2 linked regions of the Coturnix japonica genome follow. The protein of the gene in region 2 binds, or shares a complex with, the protein of the main gene of each other region. Links are inferred from orthologs where the notes say so. Each region holds a gene or a part of one and is shown on either strand. Other genes may lie near its edges.

Evidence for each region.
Region 1: POLE (region 2) and POLE4 share a complex: the UniProt entries of both Homo sapiens proteins name them as parts of the DNA polymerase epsilon complex. The link is inferred for Coturnix japonica from reciprocal best matches to the Homo sapiens genes POLE and POLE4.

Annotation. Positions count from the first base shown.
Region 1 is NC_029543.1:373,585-377,289, forward strand, and holds POLE4 (DNA polymerase epsilon subunit 4), read right to left. Parts: upstream 2,254-3,705; 5' UTR 2,237-2,253; coding exon 2,054-2,236; intron 1,918-2,053; coding exon 1,833-1,917; intron 1,726-1,832; coding exon 1,684-1,725; intron 1,225-1,683; coding exon 1,211-1,224; 3' UTR 659-1,210; downstream 1-658. Other genes in the region: PRAM1 (PML-RARA-regulated adapter molecule 1), read left to right, coding at 3,051-3,053. UniProt on the Homo sapiens protein: Accessory component of the DNA polymerase epsilon complex. Participates in DNA repair and in chromosomal DNA replication.
Region 2 is NC_029530.1:8,897,996-8,901,802, forward strand, and holds part of POLE (DNA polymerase epsilon catalytic subunit A), read right to left. Parts: intron 3,764-3,807; coding exon 3,661-3,763; intron 3,541-3,660; coding exon 3,394-3,540; intron 3,249-3,393; coding exon 3,103-3,248; intron 2,813-3,102; coding exon 2,664-2,812; intron 2,293-2,663; coding exon 2,200-2,292; intron 1,917-2,199; coding exon 1,772-1,916; intron 1,632-1,771; coding exon 1,474-1,631; intron 634-1,473; coding exon 438-633; intron 305-437; coding exon 90-304; intron 1-89. UniProt on the Homo sapiens protein: Catalytic component of the DNA polymerase epsilon complex. Participates in chromosomal DNA replication.

The sequences.
Region 1 (3,705 bases), on a different chromosome or scaffold from region 2:
AAATGAGCACTTGAGGCTGCCCGTGTGTCCCTGCAGACCCCCATGGGGTGGATGCCACCAGCCATTCCATTCCCTCTGACTCAGTGCAGCACCGAAGGGCCCCGCTCTGCTTCAGCCCAGCAGGTTTTGCTCTGTCTGGGACAACTGAGGCTGCAGTTCTCATCTCTAAGTGACTTTGGCACCACTTTAGTGGCCAACACTTTACAGCTGCATGTGTAACTGAATCCAGAGCTGCTCCCAAAGGCCACAGACCCACGGTGAACAAAGGGACCCATTTTGTCCTGTCAGGACACCCCACAGCATCCCTGAGCCTCTGCTCGTGGGCTCAGCCCAAAGACAAACCCTGATTGACCTGCTGTGAGCAGGCGATGCTGCCCAGCAAAGCACAGCAGGGAGAGATCAGACACAAAACCAGGCACCCCTATGGGCCCTGTGCTCAATGGGCCTGAATCAGCCCCGAGGGCAGCAAAAGGAACCTGCTGGCAAGGAAGGCACCGTGCAGCTCTGCCCAAAGCAGGACAGCTCATGGGCCACACGCTGTGCTTTGGCAAGGGCAGGGAGGGCTGCAGCACAGCCCAGCAGATCCACGCACAGGAGAAGGGCCAGGTTCAGCAATGAGAGCAAAGGAGAAGAGCAGTGAAACACGGCAGGCAACGCCTTCAAAAGCAGGGATTTATTACTGTCCAGCTGTGACCATCGCAGAACTTGATGGAGCCATGCAGCCCTAACAGCAACACGAGCCTCTCTGCAGCTCATCTGTGTGCCTGGAGCGGAGCATCCCTTCCAAACTGCATCTGTGCCACAGGAACAGCAGAGCAGCACAGAGCAGCATCACTCAGAACAGCCACTCAAAACAGCTCCGCCTTTAATTGCACTGGCCAAAAAGGAACCCAACAAAACACACAGAGACCAAAACATCCACTTCAATAATGTATCTACAGACCAGCAGGTGGGATAAACCAACAGGGAGCTGCCTCGGGAGCTCAGCTCTGCTCCATGGTGCCTGGGGGGGGGGCAGGGCTGGGGAGCAGCAGCAGAACAAGGAGGTCAGAGTCCTACAAAATACTTACAACAAAAGCTTTCAACAAAGATCTTACAGACACTCAGTCGTTACACAAAGCACCGCGGCTGCCCACATTGGTGTCCCACTGCTGGGAAGTGCAGCCGGTGCCGGCCGACCCATCTGCACAGAACCCCATTGCTGAGCAGCTCAGTCCAAAGTGCCTGGAAACAAAAACAACGATGAAGCAAAGCAGCCTCAGGGACCAGAAAGGAAAATGAAACACAGCTACAAGAACAGCTGGAACTCGGGTTTATAGGGAGCTGTGGGTCTATGGAGGGGGCTATATGGGGATGTGGGGCTAAAAGGCCCAGATAAAGGGAGTATGGGGGGGAAACAGGGGGGCATGGGGCTATGGGGGGCTGTACCAGGGATATAGAGGAATATGTGGCTACAGGGAGCAGTGGGGGGGGCTATAGGAGGCTGTAGGGTTATAGGGGGGGCTATAAGTGGGGTGTGGGGCTGGAAGGCCCAGATACAGACCCAGATAGTGAGACCATGGGGCTGCAGGAGGGATACAGGAAGGATATAGGAGGGATATAGGAGGGATATAGGAGGGATATAGGAGGATGCGGGGCTGCTTTGAAAGGGATTATGGACTAATGGGGGAAACCGAAACTCACCCTCCAGAAAAGCGAACTCATCAACAGCCTCAATGGCGTTATCTGCAAAGGGAAAAGGGCTCAGTGCCGACACAGACAGAAGGGCCAACCGGGAAGAGCTGGGACGTTTCTCTTCTCTTCGGACCCCCCCCCCCGGTTCCGCCCCGTACCCAGGTCCTTCCTCTGCAGCGTTTTCCTCTTCCCCTGCTGGGCGAACACAAACGCGTCCTTAGCGATGTTCTCCACGAACAGCTCCTGCGGGGCGAGCACGAGCGTCACACGGACGGAACGGGACGGAACGGGACAGACCGGGACAGAACGGCACGGACCGGAGGCTGCCCCGCATTACCCCGCACTGCCCCGCGTTGCCCCGCCCGCCCCCGCCGCTCACCGCGGCCCGCGCCAGCACGAACACGGCCTCGTGGCTGGCCAGGCTGACGTCCGGGTCCGCCTTCACCAGCGCCTTCACCCGTGACAGCGGCAGCCTGGCACCACGCGCCGCTCCGGGTCCCGCTCCCGGTCCCGCTCCTCCCGCATCTTCCGCCGCCGCCTCCGGCCCCGCCGCCGCCGCCATCCCGCAACGCGCATGCGCAGTGAGTGCTGCCTGCGGGGCGGAGCGGAGCGCCGGCTGTCATCGCTGTGTGCCGCTGGGGGGCGCTGTGTCTCTGTGCCGCTGGGGGGCGCTGTGTCTCTGTGCCGCTGGGGGGCGCTGTGTCTGTCTGTGCCGCTGGGGGGCGCTGTGTCTGTCTGTGCCGCTGGGGGGCGCTGTGTCTGTCTGTGCCGCGGAGCCGGGCGCCCCGCACGGGACCGGGCCCCTCCCGCATCCCCGGCCGGGTTCTCCGTCCTCCCGCCGCCCCCGAACTCGCCCCCCACCCGCTCTGTGCCCCACATCCCGCCCTCCGGCCCCGCTGTGCCCCAAACTTCCGCTCTGTGCCCCAAATTCGGCTCTCCGCCCCCCTGTGCCCCAAACGCAGCCCCGCAGTCCCCATAACCCCCCATCACCCACGGACACGGACGGGGCTCCGCTCAGCCCGTTCCCCCCCGGCCCGATCCCTCCTGTGCCGATGCTGCGGCCCGGGGTCGCTCCCTGAGCCCACGTCGGTTCCTGGACGGGGCAGCAGCATCTCCTCCCCCCCCCCCCACTCTCACATTCAGGCCGCAGCCGCTTCCTGGCGTTGCGCGCAGCCCCGCACCAACACAACGTTAGGAAACAGCTTCTGCTTTCAGTGCCGGGCGGGCTGAGCTCCTGCAGCTCCTGCAGCTCCTGCAGCCCCTTCAGCCCCTTCAGCTCCTTCAACTCCTTCGGCTCCTTCGGCTCCTTCGGCTCGGACGGCCCGCACGGTTCTCAGGAGGGAGGAGAGCCCATAGGACGCGTCCGTGGATGGGAAATGGTGAGCGCGAATGGTCCGACCCGCACCCGCACATCGTCACAGCCGCACCGGGCTGGGGGCAGTGGCAGCTCCGGAGCCCCCCGAGCAGCTCCCGGGATGGGTCAGCACCGGGTGGGCTCAGACAGGACAAAGCATCGCGGTGCCAGACGCTGCTCAGGTCGCAGTGACAGCGGCGCCGTTGCCCCGACGGCGCCATCGCGGGCAGCTCCGCGTCCCGGCTCACGGAGCGGCCACAAACACCGGGACGGGTCCCAGCTGGAGCCCTCGGTGCCCTCCGAGCACAAATCCCATTTTCCACCGTTTTTTCGCTGCCGTCCGTGCAGAACGTGGGCAACGTGCGCTGCTGAGCCCCCGTGGGTTCTGCCCCGGGACCAGGGGGCACCTGCCCCTTTTTAACACCAATTTCACATTATTTAATGCCCCACATTTGAGATCCCGCGGCTGAAAATGTCGCGCTGGATTCTCTGCGCTCCGGCCGTTCTGTTGTGAAAGAAAACAAAGTGATGCAAGAGCAAAACGAACCGAAATCCCGGGAGGAGGAGAACTAAAGAGAGAGAGACGCGATGGGGGGGGGGGGTAAGGGGGAGAGGGAGAGGTTGGGTGGGGAGAGGAGCCGGAGGGGAGAAGCGCAGCTCGCCCTGCGCGGATCCGA
Region 2 (3,807 bases):
CTCAGCCACACAATACCCATCCACTCCTTGCTGCCACCCTGCCCTGCCCACATGCTGTCACAAGCCTCGGCCCTTCCAGACACGGGTACCTCTCAGTGACAGGAGAGCCCTCGGGTTTCTTTGAGATGATGAAGCGGCAGCTCAGCCCTGCATCCTTCACCATCTGGTCCCCCAGGAACTCTGCCAGGCGCTTGGCAGTGCTGATGGAGGTGGATTTCTGCTCCCCATAGTCCTCCAGCTTGCGAGACATGGAACGGTTCTCTGAGATGAGCTCAAACAGCTCCGAATCGGGCATGTTGGCAGCCTGAAGGCAGGGGGGAACAAATACACAGCAAGAGTTTGGTGATTTAACATCGCAGCATCCAACCAGCTCTTACACCTTCTTTTACACCACTTTAGGGATGCAGGGGGCAGCCAACCTGCAAAGCAATGTGTACCTTGCTGTACAGTACATCCAGCCAGTAGTCAGCCACCTTGGCCACAGAAGCATAGACCTCCTCCAGGGTGGTGCCTTTGAGGAAGGCCTCGAATACAGAAGACTGGAATATCTTCACCAGCTGCAGCTCACCTCGGCGCTTCACCTCAAAGCCCTTCAGCTCAGCCAGGGACCCATCTTCATTGAACACTGCATACCTGGGGTACATGGATTGTTTCATTTTGGGCTGTGAAAGCACAACAGTTTGTGCCCCAGTCCATCAGTACCAAGTGGGGGAATGTTCCAAACTGCACATCAGTAAAGGCCAGGAGGTGAGACAGGGTAAGGTGGGGGAGATGCAGGGGGAGATATCAGGAAGAGCTTTAGAGAAAAGAAGGAAGGTTCGTAAGCTTAGTGAAATGATTCAGAGGAAGCTGGATGTAGCTACTGATGAGGTTATAAGAATACGCTACCCTCCTCCCTTTCTTTGCTTATCCCTACCCTTTATTTGTATGCATGTCTCAAGATAAATCTTACAGAACACTCAGCTAACAGAATAGCAATGATACTCAAGCCCACGTTACTTTGACTGCCCAACTCATCAGTATGGATGCAGCCTTCTCTTCCTCCACCATTGATGGTGCCTACCAGTAAGCTTCAGGTTATTTCCATTTGAGCACAACCAAGGAATAAACTCCTTTGCCGACAACACCCAGAAACCACAGGGAATAAGGAGGCCCTGAGGAAGGGGCCCTGTGTACAGCATCCATTCAGTGCTTGGCATCAGTTTCATTCCTATGGCACAGACATGGCATGGAAAGGCACTGACAGGGGATGGCAGACGTTAGAACTTGTCTGATGTGCAGAGAGCACAGCCAGGCTGAGCATTTTAAGGACAGAGGGTCCTGGAGGATGGAAATGGCTTTTCTGAGTTCAGACCCAGGTCCACAGGCACCTCCATAGCTGGACATTGCTGGTGTTCCTACACAGGTTGCTGTGGAAAAGTCAGTGGTATTTGATGACAATCGCTTTCCTATATTTCAAGCTTTGAGTCCTACCTTTTCTTCAGCTTCTTTCCCTCCTCCTTGGAAGCTGGGAGGATCATGGCCAGGTATGGCCCATCCACTTCAAAGAAGATGCTGTTCTCTGAGCGTGTGATGTAGGTAAGAGAGGCTGGGTCCTGCAGCTCCTGGTACTGATCATTTGTGAAGCCTTCCTGCAGGCACAGCCCCAAAAGAACAGACTGACTCAACAGCTGGGCTGGTTCTACCAGGAGATACCACACTTTCTCTCCTTGTCAGTCCTCCATTCATTTCCCCAGACTGCAGAGCTGGCTGGGATGGGTGTGAGACTCACCTTCACCAGGATGTTCAGCATAGCACCTGGGTAAGAGATTGTCACCTTTGGCTTCTTGGCATTGGTTGACTTGATGACAAAGTTTTCTGGGAAGCTGTTGGGGAGGACGCACCAAATCCCATCTGTATCCAGTTCCAGAGGTCTCCTAAGGAAGATCACTCAGGAAATCAGAAGCTGATACCATATAACAGCTCTGCTGCTGCTTGTATGGGGGACACAGCCTCTTGCTTCACTATCCTGTCCCTTCTGCAAAGTGAGCCCTTGTAAGGCAGCAGAAAAACCACAACCACCAATGCCAGCAATCTGAATCTTCAACACGAAACACTTTCAGCATCTAATATGCTCCCATTGGTTCTATGCTCCACACTCAAACCCCACTCTCACTGTGTGCAGAAGAACCTTTCTTTCCCAGCTCAGCACATACTCACCCAATCTGCTCAATCAGTTCCCTGGCCTGTGTGATGATATTGGCCCCAGTGAAGCAGACGATCCCGGCCATTTCCATGGAGTACCATCGAGCTCTGGGAACAGAGGAGTCCAGGTGAAGGGGATGCAGTGCTACCCTGCAGCCAGCTATGGGAAAGGGCAGGAAGGCATCCAGAAGGAGAAGAGCAAGGAACAAGGCAGCACTGTGCCTTGGTAGATTGCTTTCCTTTCCTTCTTAATGGTTTTTTAGAGAATCTGAGAAAACACTGATAGAGAAGACTGCCGCCCCTTGCTGCTCAACACTACAGGTCTCAAAGATCAGAAGCCATTAATAGAAGCAAGAGAGAAGTGTTCCAGGGATCACCCATCCCTGTGCTATGGAAACAGGTGAAGCAAGTGGCAGCCTCCCCAAAACAATCCTGGGTGTTCTCTGGAGGACTCAGCAACAACGCCGGCTCAGACTCACCCTTTCCGCATGACATAGCCATAGAAAGAATTGAGAATGCATTTGTGTGCCAGCTGCAGGGAGTCGTAGAGGATCTCCATGTTCTTGCAGCGTTTCACTTCAGAGGCATCTCCTGTCTCCATGGCTGCAGACAGCTTCTTCTTCCACACCTGGGAGCAACAGGCAAAGTTGGAGAGGTGGTGGGTGCCCCGTCTTTGGAGACACCCAAGGTCATGTTGGGCCGGGCCCTGAGCACCTGATCAGCTGTAGGTGGCCCTGTTCATTGCAGAGGAGTTGGACATGATGGCCTTTAAAGGTCCCTTCTAACTCAAACCATTCTATGATTTCCCTACTCAGTACAAAGGCTGAACAAACCCATCCTTCAGTGCTCAGGCTTACAGCAGTTGGTGAGAACTCCCCATCCCCAGTAGGACAACGAAAGCAGGACTCAGCCCAATACCTTGTGCAGCCCCTTGAACTCATAGCGGCGGTCCCTGAAAGCTCGCACCGTGTCCACATAGAAGGAGTTCTCTCGTTGGCAGATGGTGGTGACCCTCTCCTCCACCTTGGTGACGTGGATCTTCTTGTAGGCTTTGCGGCAGTAATCTGCTCAAGGGCATAACAGGTTGTTTCTCAGTTGGTGCCCACCATGGATGGAGGAGGTGGACACACAGAGGGGGTGGACAGAACTGCATGAGGTTCTGGCTGAACAGCATTGATTTGTGCCTCAGCTCATGATATTAACTCTTACCTGCCAGCCGCTTCTTCTCATACTTGGCTTGTTCCTCTCGGGAGAGCTCGTGGAAAGCACGTGGTGCTCCATCAGGGAACAGTGGAGGGAACTTTTCTGACTCCAGCTGCTGCTGGATGCGGTGATACTCACTGCGGCTCGCAGGCACTGCAAGGAGGGCAACAGAGGAGAAGCAGGAATCAGCCTCAGCATCATCCAATGGGACAACAAGGTCTCTAGTGCACTCGGCCTCACTGAGTGGGACAGTGAGGTATCCGTTGTACTCACTGAATTCTCCTCTCCACTGCCACGTCATCCGGCGCTGGCAGTTGGCCCCTGGCTTGTTGAAGTCACAGGCAGCACACGTGGCCTCATCCACCATCGCTGAGGGCTAAGGAAGAGACACACAGGTATCAGAGGACGCTTGGTTTCAAC